2 linked regions of the Solanum lycopersicum genome follow. The protein of the gene in region 1 binds, or shares a complex with, the protein of each later gene. Links are inferred from orthologs where the notes say so. Each region holds a gene or a part of one and is shown on either strand. Other genes may lie near its edges.

Region 1 (3,773 bases):
CATAGCCCTCCACAATGTAAATTTTTCATTTTTCTTGTTCTTCTTTTGCTTTTTAAACAGCCTGGCTTTGAAATATGTAAAATTGATCAATGAGATAGTTTGTGCAATCCATTGATTCATTCTCAAACCTTCTATTTTGAGGCTAAAAGCAGAGTAGCAATTAGCGCTTAAACTCAAAAGTTCTAGTAAAAGCCTAGAGATACTCATATACTCTCCATCACATATTTTGATAGTACAAATGTCCAAGTTATCTGCCTCCATAGATAGTCTACTAGATATGGTCTGTTTCAAGGTTAATAATGCTTAGCATCCCATATGCCCCCAATGACTCAAAACAAAGTAAAGAGCATTTTTTCCTGCCAATTACTTTGTGTTTGTATTAAAGAAAAAGGTGATGAAGCTTTTTCCACCCAAATAAAGGTTTCCTTTTCTTAACTTTGCTTAATTGCTTCAAGCCTAAGACTCAAACACAAAGCTTTCCTAATCATTTTACTTTGCTGAATCTCGCCTGGCTGACAACTTGTAACCCATAAATCTTATATAAAGCTTCATCTACTAAGCAATTAATGTAGTTTTGCCAGAACACAAGACTTAATTAGTAAAGTAACTAATCACTCTTATCATAAAAATCAAGAACTCAAAGTGGTAATGAGAGCGGAACGAAAATCAAGAGTAAACTATTCCAACGAAGGTAATGGACAAATGCAGTCAGTGACATGAAATCAACCAAAATCACCTAGTTTTATCATACAATAAAATACAATTCAAAGTGAAATATACTAAGCTCCCTGTAAGGTAAAGCCTCCTCTAAAATGGAACAGACCCTTTTCGCCCCATGTTCATATATTACTCAGAACTTTCAGCACTCTCCTCCACCTCGCCACCTGAATGCAGCAAATTAACGAGTTAGCTAAAATTGAAAGGAAACTTCATACCCAAAATGAAGCAAAAACTAACCATCTTCTTCTTCCTCGTCCACCACCTCCCAGTCATCATCATCATCATCATCATTTCCGTATCGTTCATTCAAGAACTCCACAGCTGATTTAGTGAAAACCAGCTTCTCAGAATCCAATATGTCGAAAAGATTCAAAGTTCTGGGTGTCAACATCTTCAATGTGCTAATGTTTCTGCTGGAGAGAATCACATTGTCTGAAACTTCCGTCATCAAAAACAAAGATTTCTCTTTTGGGTCCAATCCCCATCTTCTCATCAAATCAATGAACTCCTTAGTCTTCGGTTTCTCAAACTTATCATCAAACTCTTCCACAACAATGGCATTCTGTGTAGCACTCGAAAGCGCAGTAGAAATCGCGAGTCTCTTTTCCTTTTTGTTAATCTTAACTGACCAATCCTTAGGTTTCGGCCCAAACACAACCCCACCACCTGGTCGTAAAGGAGTTCGGTTCGACCCACGTCGAGCTCGACCCGTTTTCTTTTGTGGGTATGGTTTGATACCACCACCCCGTACTTGGGCTCGGGTAAGGGTGGAAGCAGTACCGCGACGTTGGTTGCGCAGGTCAGTGGTAAGCCCACGATGAACGACGGCGCGTGCGGTATCAAGAGGGGCGGATTTTAAGTTGAGAGTGGTGGAGCCCACTTCGGTACCATCAAAGGACAGAATTGGAATAGTGGCGGCGGCGGCCTCTGAACGGATGGAGAATTGTTGTTGTTTGGGTTTGAAAATGAGTTGTTTCTGCTGCTGCTGCTTTGAGGAGTGAAGGGTGTTGGAGTTAGAGAAGAAAATGGTGGAAGAAAAGAAAGATAAAGAAGAAGAAGTAGCCATTTTTGCAGTGAAGGAGCAAACTGCAAGCCTATGGATTGGGTTATCCACAAATGAGGAAGAAGGATATCAAAATGTATTCATATTCTTTGTTCAAATAAATTTAGTGAAAATGGAAAAGTCATATATACCCTCAAAGTATTTGAAATTGAGCACATATTTGATAAATTTAGGGACATATTTGCGGAAACATGCGCTCCCTGCGGGTAATAACAAGAGAGTGAATCCTCCAAACTCAAAGAGTGATTGAGTCCGTCTCAAGCGAGTGAGTGAAAGGCGTGGCAAGAGAGCGAGTTCGACTTGCGAACGATCAGCAAGTGAAGGACCGATCCTTTTGCGCCAATGAACTCTTCAACTTTACGACGTAACAGACTCTCTAGCTTTACGAGATAGTGATAAGGTCTACAAATATTCTATTCTTTCTATGCTTATCGTTGTCAGAGTATATTTGATAATTTTTTCACTTATGAATCAACAAATGAGGTTAATCAAATGTTTCATTTAGACTAATAACACATTCAAAATGATAAGGTCATATATAAGCCAAACTATTGACGAAGAGTTGAAGGGCATGTCTATTTAATTTACAATACTTTAAGAACATAATTAAATCTTCTTTTGTGTAGGAAAAAAAATAAATTTTTTAGAGCGTAAGCGACAAATAAAATTTTTATGAAATGTGCTCTTTATTTTTATTAATTTTGATATAATATAAAAGTTATACAATTTTCTTGATCAAGTCTTTTGTTAGTTGGGGCTACACCATCATAAGCCCAAAACCTTCATTTTCTTTTATTTTGAGGCGCTATTGATGCAGCCTGCTACATATTGCCTTCCCTTTCCAATTTTTCCATGATACGCTAAGCCCAACTCGTATGTTGAATTCGGTTAAGAAAACAAACCTTGAATCTAATCTAACTGTAACATCGTAGCTAGCTCAAGAGGAAATAATTGTTCAAGATTATTTATGCTTATCAATCAATTTAAGACTCAACGCTCCTTTGCACGTTCATGGTCAGATATCATGAATGTAAGCAATATAAAATGGAGACCTAATATTAAATGATAATGAAGTGAGATGGACGTAACTTCAATACCATATTAGATTTAACTCAATTCAAAAGATAAATCGAGGAGATATGATTGTTCAAGAGTATATAAAGAAATCAATTTCTCCTCGTTCCACTTATGTTGAAACTTAACAAACTCAATTAAATTTTGAACTAATAATTTCAAATGTACCATAAAAATAGGTTCTGCAGCTTACATCCTAAAATTAGGTAAGCTATGCTTATTCCACATTGAATTAAAAGCAACAGAAAGTTCATAGGTCTTTAGTAAAAAGAATTTATACTAATATGGGATTTACAATTGCCATGAAAAACGTCTTAATCAATACTCCTATCTCAATGACTATCTATAAGTACTCCTTCATCCTTAATTAGAGATTTCAGATTTGAATCTTTCAAAGTACAAAGTCACCTTTACGAGGAAACAATGAATCCCTCAGTACTAATGTGAATCCAGATTAGTTGAGCTCCAATATGAATATCAGACATCAGGCGCATAAAGCATAGATTCACAAGATTCTTCCCAAGAAAACTCCCTACATGCACCAACAAAGTTAGTGAAATCTTCAACTCCATTTTGATCATAGTAACAATCCTTGAACCAAATATTCATATCATCATCATCACTAGGAGTTGAAGAATCCATGTCTGAATCAATCCAACAATATTCAAGTTCACCAAGATCATCACAAGACAAATTAGTTGAATTCTCTACTTTCATTTGCTCAAACAAAATTGAATCATTTGTATTAACACTAGGAACAATATTCTCTACTTCTAATGACTCAATCACACTTCTTAATAACTCTTCATCACTTGCCTCAAATTCTGGTTCTTCAAGAAATGACATGAAAACATCGTTCTCAATATTGCTAAGTGCAAGATTTTCATTATTACAATATGTGGCCATTGACATGTTG
Region 2 (4,286 bases), on another chromosome or scaffold:
ATGGGCATCGGTCACTCGCGACATATTTGATTATCAATTAAAATATTAATGTGTTCATCGAATTGGGAGGCAAGTCTTATTATACGAGATAACATTCTTTATAACATTTTCAATACATAAATATATAAAATGGTGTGCATTGTAGTACAACATTGGTCTTAGTAATATAATTCACCATAAGAATGATTGAATATGTTTAACAATTGTCAATATGGATAAAAATGGTGTAGATTTGTTGAGTTGGTGTTATTATCAATTCTTATGTAAAAATAAATTGGTGTTCAATGTGGTGTAATGTTGCTGTTACCTTTCTCTTTTGTAATTATAATGACTTGCACTATAGTATAGTCATCTATAAAATAAATATTTTTGCGCCAAAATCATACAATTCCCTAATAATAAAACACCAATTAAACTACAATCGTTTTAAATGCCAAACTTTAGACGAGATGGTGAACTTTAAAGTTTATAGTACATGAAAAAAACACTATTTTACAAATTGATATGTTGTGAATTTTCATCAATAATTTGTCTCATACGATAAATGGTTTTGAACAGATTGATATTTTGATTCGTGAATAGAATATGTGTTTTTATGGTTATGAGAGGGAGGACACAAAACTAGATATTTTCATAGACTTCTGATAATGTAAAGTTTTTTAGCTAAGAAATCTGACAAATAAAACTTGAAGGTAGAGATTGGTTGAAACACAATATCATAATTTGAAAGAAAAAATTTCATCACTTCATAGAGTTGATAAAAGAAGAGGGAACAAAAATTAGTTCTTGGGGATGTTTTTGCCAACTATCTTGGCCGGAGCTATTCGCAAAAGATTTCCAGGCTTACCAGGAAGAGCTCCTTTGATCATTAGAATCTTAAGTTCATCATCAATCTTGACGATCTTGAGCTTTCTAATCTTTGTCCTGGTGCCTCCCATTCGTCCAGGCATCTTCTTGCCCTTGTATACACGCCCTGGGGTTGTCCCAGCACCAATTGATCCTAGTTGTCTATGACTCTTTGATCCGTGAGTCATTTGACCCCTCTTGAAATTATGCCTCTTGATACCACCTGCAAGCCAATTCCACCAGTGTCAACAATGAGAGAGCGAAAAACAAGATATGATAGATAGAACTTGCTTTCTGTAAAGACAATCAAATTTGAGATAAAAAATTACTTCTCTAGTAAGTGAATGATATATCTAGAGTCAAGACCGCCACCAATAGAGAACCAAAGAACTACCTGTACCTTGACTTAATAGTTACAATATGTCGATACATGCACCTGTATGGAAGTCTCGTCTGTATGATACTTCAAACAACTATTCAGGTTATGATAAACTTTTAAGACGTGAAAAGTTGATAAACCCTACTTCCACATTTAAACATCTGAAAATGTACACTGTGGAATCAACCAGCATAATTAAACACTATGATAGCAAGTCATGTTAACCAGAATATCAAGATATCCATTAATGAAGCTTATTTAGGTGCTGAAGCCATGCCACACGAAGAGAGGAGCTACCACGATGTTCAATTACAATGTCATTTTCAGTTGGAATTGCAGTATTTACAAACAAAAGTTGCGGTTATTGAGGAAAATCAATAGAAGCATTAATACAAACCATTTGGCCAAAAAGTTAATGTAGCTCATGTAACAGGCATTTCAAGTACTCTTACAAATAAGTAAAATATCATATTTACATCTATAGTGATACATTGTATCATAATTATACAAACAAATACATTCTGGTTTAAGGATAAATGAATTGCAATAGCATAACAAAGTGCAGTAATGCAAAACCAAAGACTTGATATTTCAGATGTATCACGCTACTAAAATCACAGGCCAGTTCTCTTTTAAACAACAACCGCGCTCCATCCCAAGCTAGCTATATGAATTTAGAATATCCATTTGAACTAGATTCATTAACAATACGAGTTCTCTATTTCACAGTTCACATATGAAAGACAATATATTCATAGCTCACTGATGATAAGAAAAAACTAATCACAACACATAAAATCAAGGTCAATTGTACACTTCATTCATGAAATTGGGATGAAATCTTCGGACCTGTTTGGATTGGCGTTTGGCATGGGATTTTTATAAAAACCAAAAGCCTTGTTATACCATTTCTAACCTATGGCTTTAGCTTATTTTTGACTTAAAAATAAGTGTTTATAAGCACTTTATAACTTTACCCAAATACTTAAAAACAATCGAAAATGAGCTCAAATCTTTGATAAACAAGGCTAAATTTAGATAACGACCCGAAAAAAGCAATCTTTAGGATAATTGGAGTGGTAGAGAAACAGACCTTGAAATCCTTTTCCAATGGTTGTACCAGCGACATCAACCAAATCACCTTCTTTAAATAATTCATTAAAATCAAGTTTCTGCGTTACTTCAAATCCATCAACAGACTGAAGACGAAACTCCTGCAAATGACGGAGAGGAATAATCCCAGATTTTTCAAGATGACCCATTTCAGGTTTAGTTAGTTTTCTATCACGAACTCGTCGATACCCAACTTGTACAGCACTATATCCATCAGTAGCTTCAGTTTTAATTTGAGTAATAATATTTCCTTCGCGAAACCCTACAACAGTAACAGGCACCACTGTTCCTGAATCTTCAAAGAAACTCATCATTCCAAGTTTGGTTGCCATTATTCCGACTCCAGCTTCAAGAGAGGCAGAGATAGCTGGAGATGTTGAAATGCGGAGAATTGAAAGGGGTTTATGTTTTGGGAGTCTGAAAGAGGGGAGAAATGGAGAGTGCAGAGTTAAGGGTGTGACTGTGGTGGAAGTGGGTAGGGTTTGTAGGCGGAGCTTGGCGGTGGGCATTGTAGAGAAAGAAGAGAGAGACATGGCTTACTGGTTCGCTGAGACAGAGAAAGAGGAAGGGGAAACGCCCTGTTATAGGATTTCCTTATCCGGTACAAGATGGGGAAAGAGGGAGATGGTTGCACAAAACTATAAGACCCCAAATATAAATTAAGGAGCGGTATCTCACGTAATTTTAATCGAATTTAATTTCAACTCATTTAAGTTTTAATCTATTTTTTAAAAAATATTTAATTTAATCATCAATTTCAATTTTTTTATATAACTTTTTATTTGCATTGACGTTTCTATACCGAAAGTATAAATTATTATTTATTTTATATTTTTTTAAAGATTTATCTATTAATTTGTAACTGTTTCTTTTTTTAAAAAAAATAATAATTTTGAGTTGAAATTTAAATTACAATTATAAAAATTAAATATTACTAAGTTGAAATTATTGAGATTAAGCAGGTCAAATTGAACAGGACCATGACCCATTCCAAATTTGAGTCCAATTCATTTGAACTCAAAGTAAACTTGGTTTGGTTAAAACTCAACCCAAATTTTATTTCAATTTATTTTATTATTTTCAGTTTCAACCTAACTCGCTCATTTGATACCTCCTAAGAGTGACAAATACTTCTACATCATTTATTAGAGGTCGAGTTCGAGTCTTCTGGATATAAATTTATCTTTATTAGGGAGCAAAATCCTTAATCAGAGGTCAAATTTGAATCTTTTAGATACGAAAATTGTCTTATTTAGATAGCAAGAATAAGATCATATAATTTTTTATGCGAAAATTATTAAACTAGTCAGAATTCCTAACATAATTATTATAAGATCTATACTTAAGAATAATTAATAAATGTAAATATGTCAATATTTTATTAACTATAAGGTATCATAATATAATTTAGTTACCTTTTTTTTTTCAAATTGAACCCACTTTTTTTTATCCTGTTACTGATGAAAAGAAAAAAAGAGATCTTATTATCGACTTTTTTCTCTCAAATTTTTTATCCATATTTTATCATGCCTCTCTCACACATTTGGAACAGGGGCGGATCTACTTAAGCTCGTGGGGTGCCACGCCATCCACGAGCTTCGGCCAAAACGCGATGTATGTATAGGTGTATATATGTACATTGTATCCCCCTTCTAGACCCCGGATTGAATCCGGATAACAACTTTTTTTTTTAAAAAAAAAAAGGAATTTAGCTTCAATAATTCATATTTTGAAGATTATATTTCTTTTTCTTTTAAATTCTAGTTGACTTAGTTTTAATTAATAATTATTGTTGACTAATTTAATTTATTAATCTTTAATTTTTTTATAATTTGTTATTTGTTTGATTGAGAAGCATTAAAAATAGCTTTAAACTATGTCACGTCAAATAAAAATATACTCTGTTAATAATTTTATTAAAATGTCCATACGATTAAACATTTATTCT

Evidence for each region.
Region 2: large ribosomal subunit protein uL4c (region 1) and large ribosomal subunit protein uL3c share a complex: the UniProt entries of both Arabidopsis thaliana proteins name them as parts of the 50S ribosomal subunit. The link is inferred for Solanum lycopersicum from reciprocal best matches to the Arabidopsis thaliana genes RPL4 and AT2G43030.

What each region holds. Positions count from the first base shown.
Region 1 is NC_090806.1:67,227,651-67,231,423, reverse strand, and holds large ribosomal subunit protein uL4c, read right to left. Parts: upstream 2,278-3,773; 5' UTR 1,787-2,277; coding exon 958-1,786; intron 885-957; coding exon 847-884; 3' UTR 658-846; downstream 1-657. UniProt on the Arabidopsis thaliana protein: This protein binds directly and specifically to 23S rRNA. May play a role in plastid transcriptional regulation.
Region 2 is NC_090805.1:36,930,386-36,934,671, reverse strand, and holds large ribosomal subunit protein uL3c, read right to left. Parts: upstream 3,080-4,286; 5' UTR 2,872-3,079; coding exon 2,319-2,871; intron 1,070-2,318; coding exon 780-1,069; 3' UTR 700-779; downstream 1-699. UniProt on the Arabidopsis thaliana protein: One of the primary rRNA binding proteins, it binds directly near the 3'-end of the 23S rRNA, where it nucleates assembly of the 50S subunit.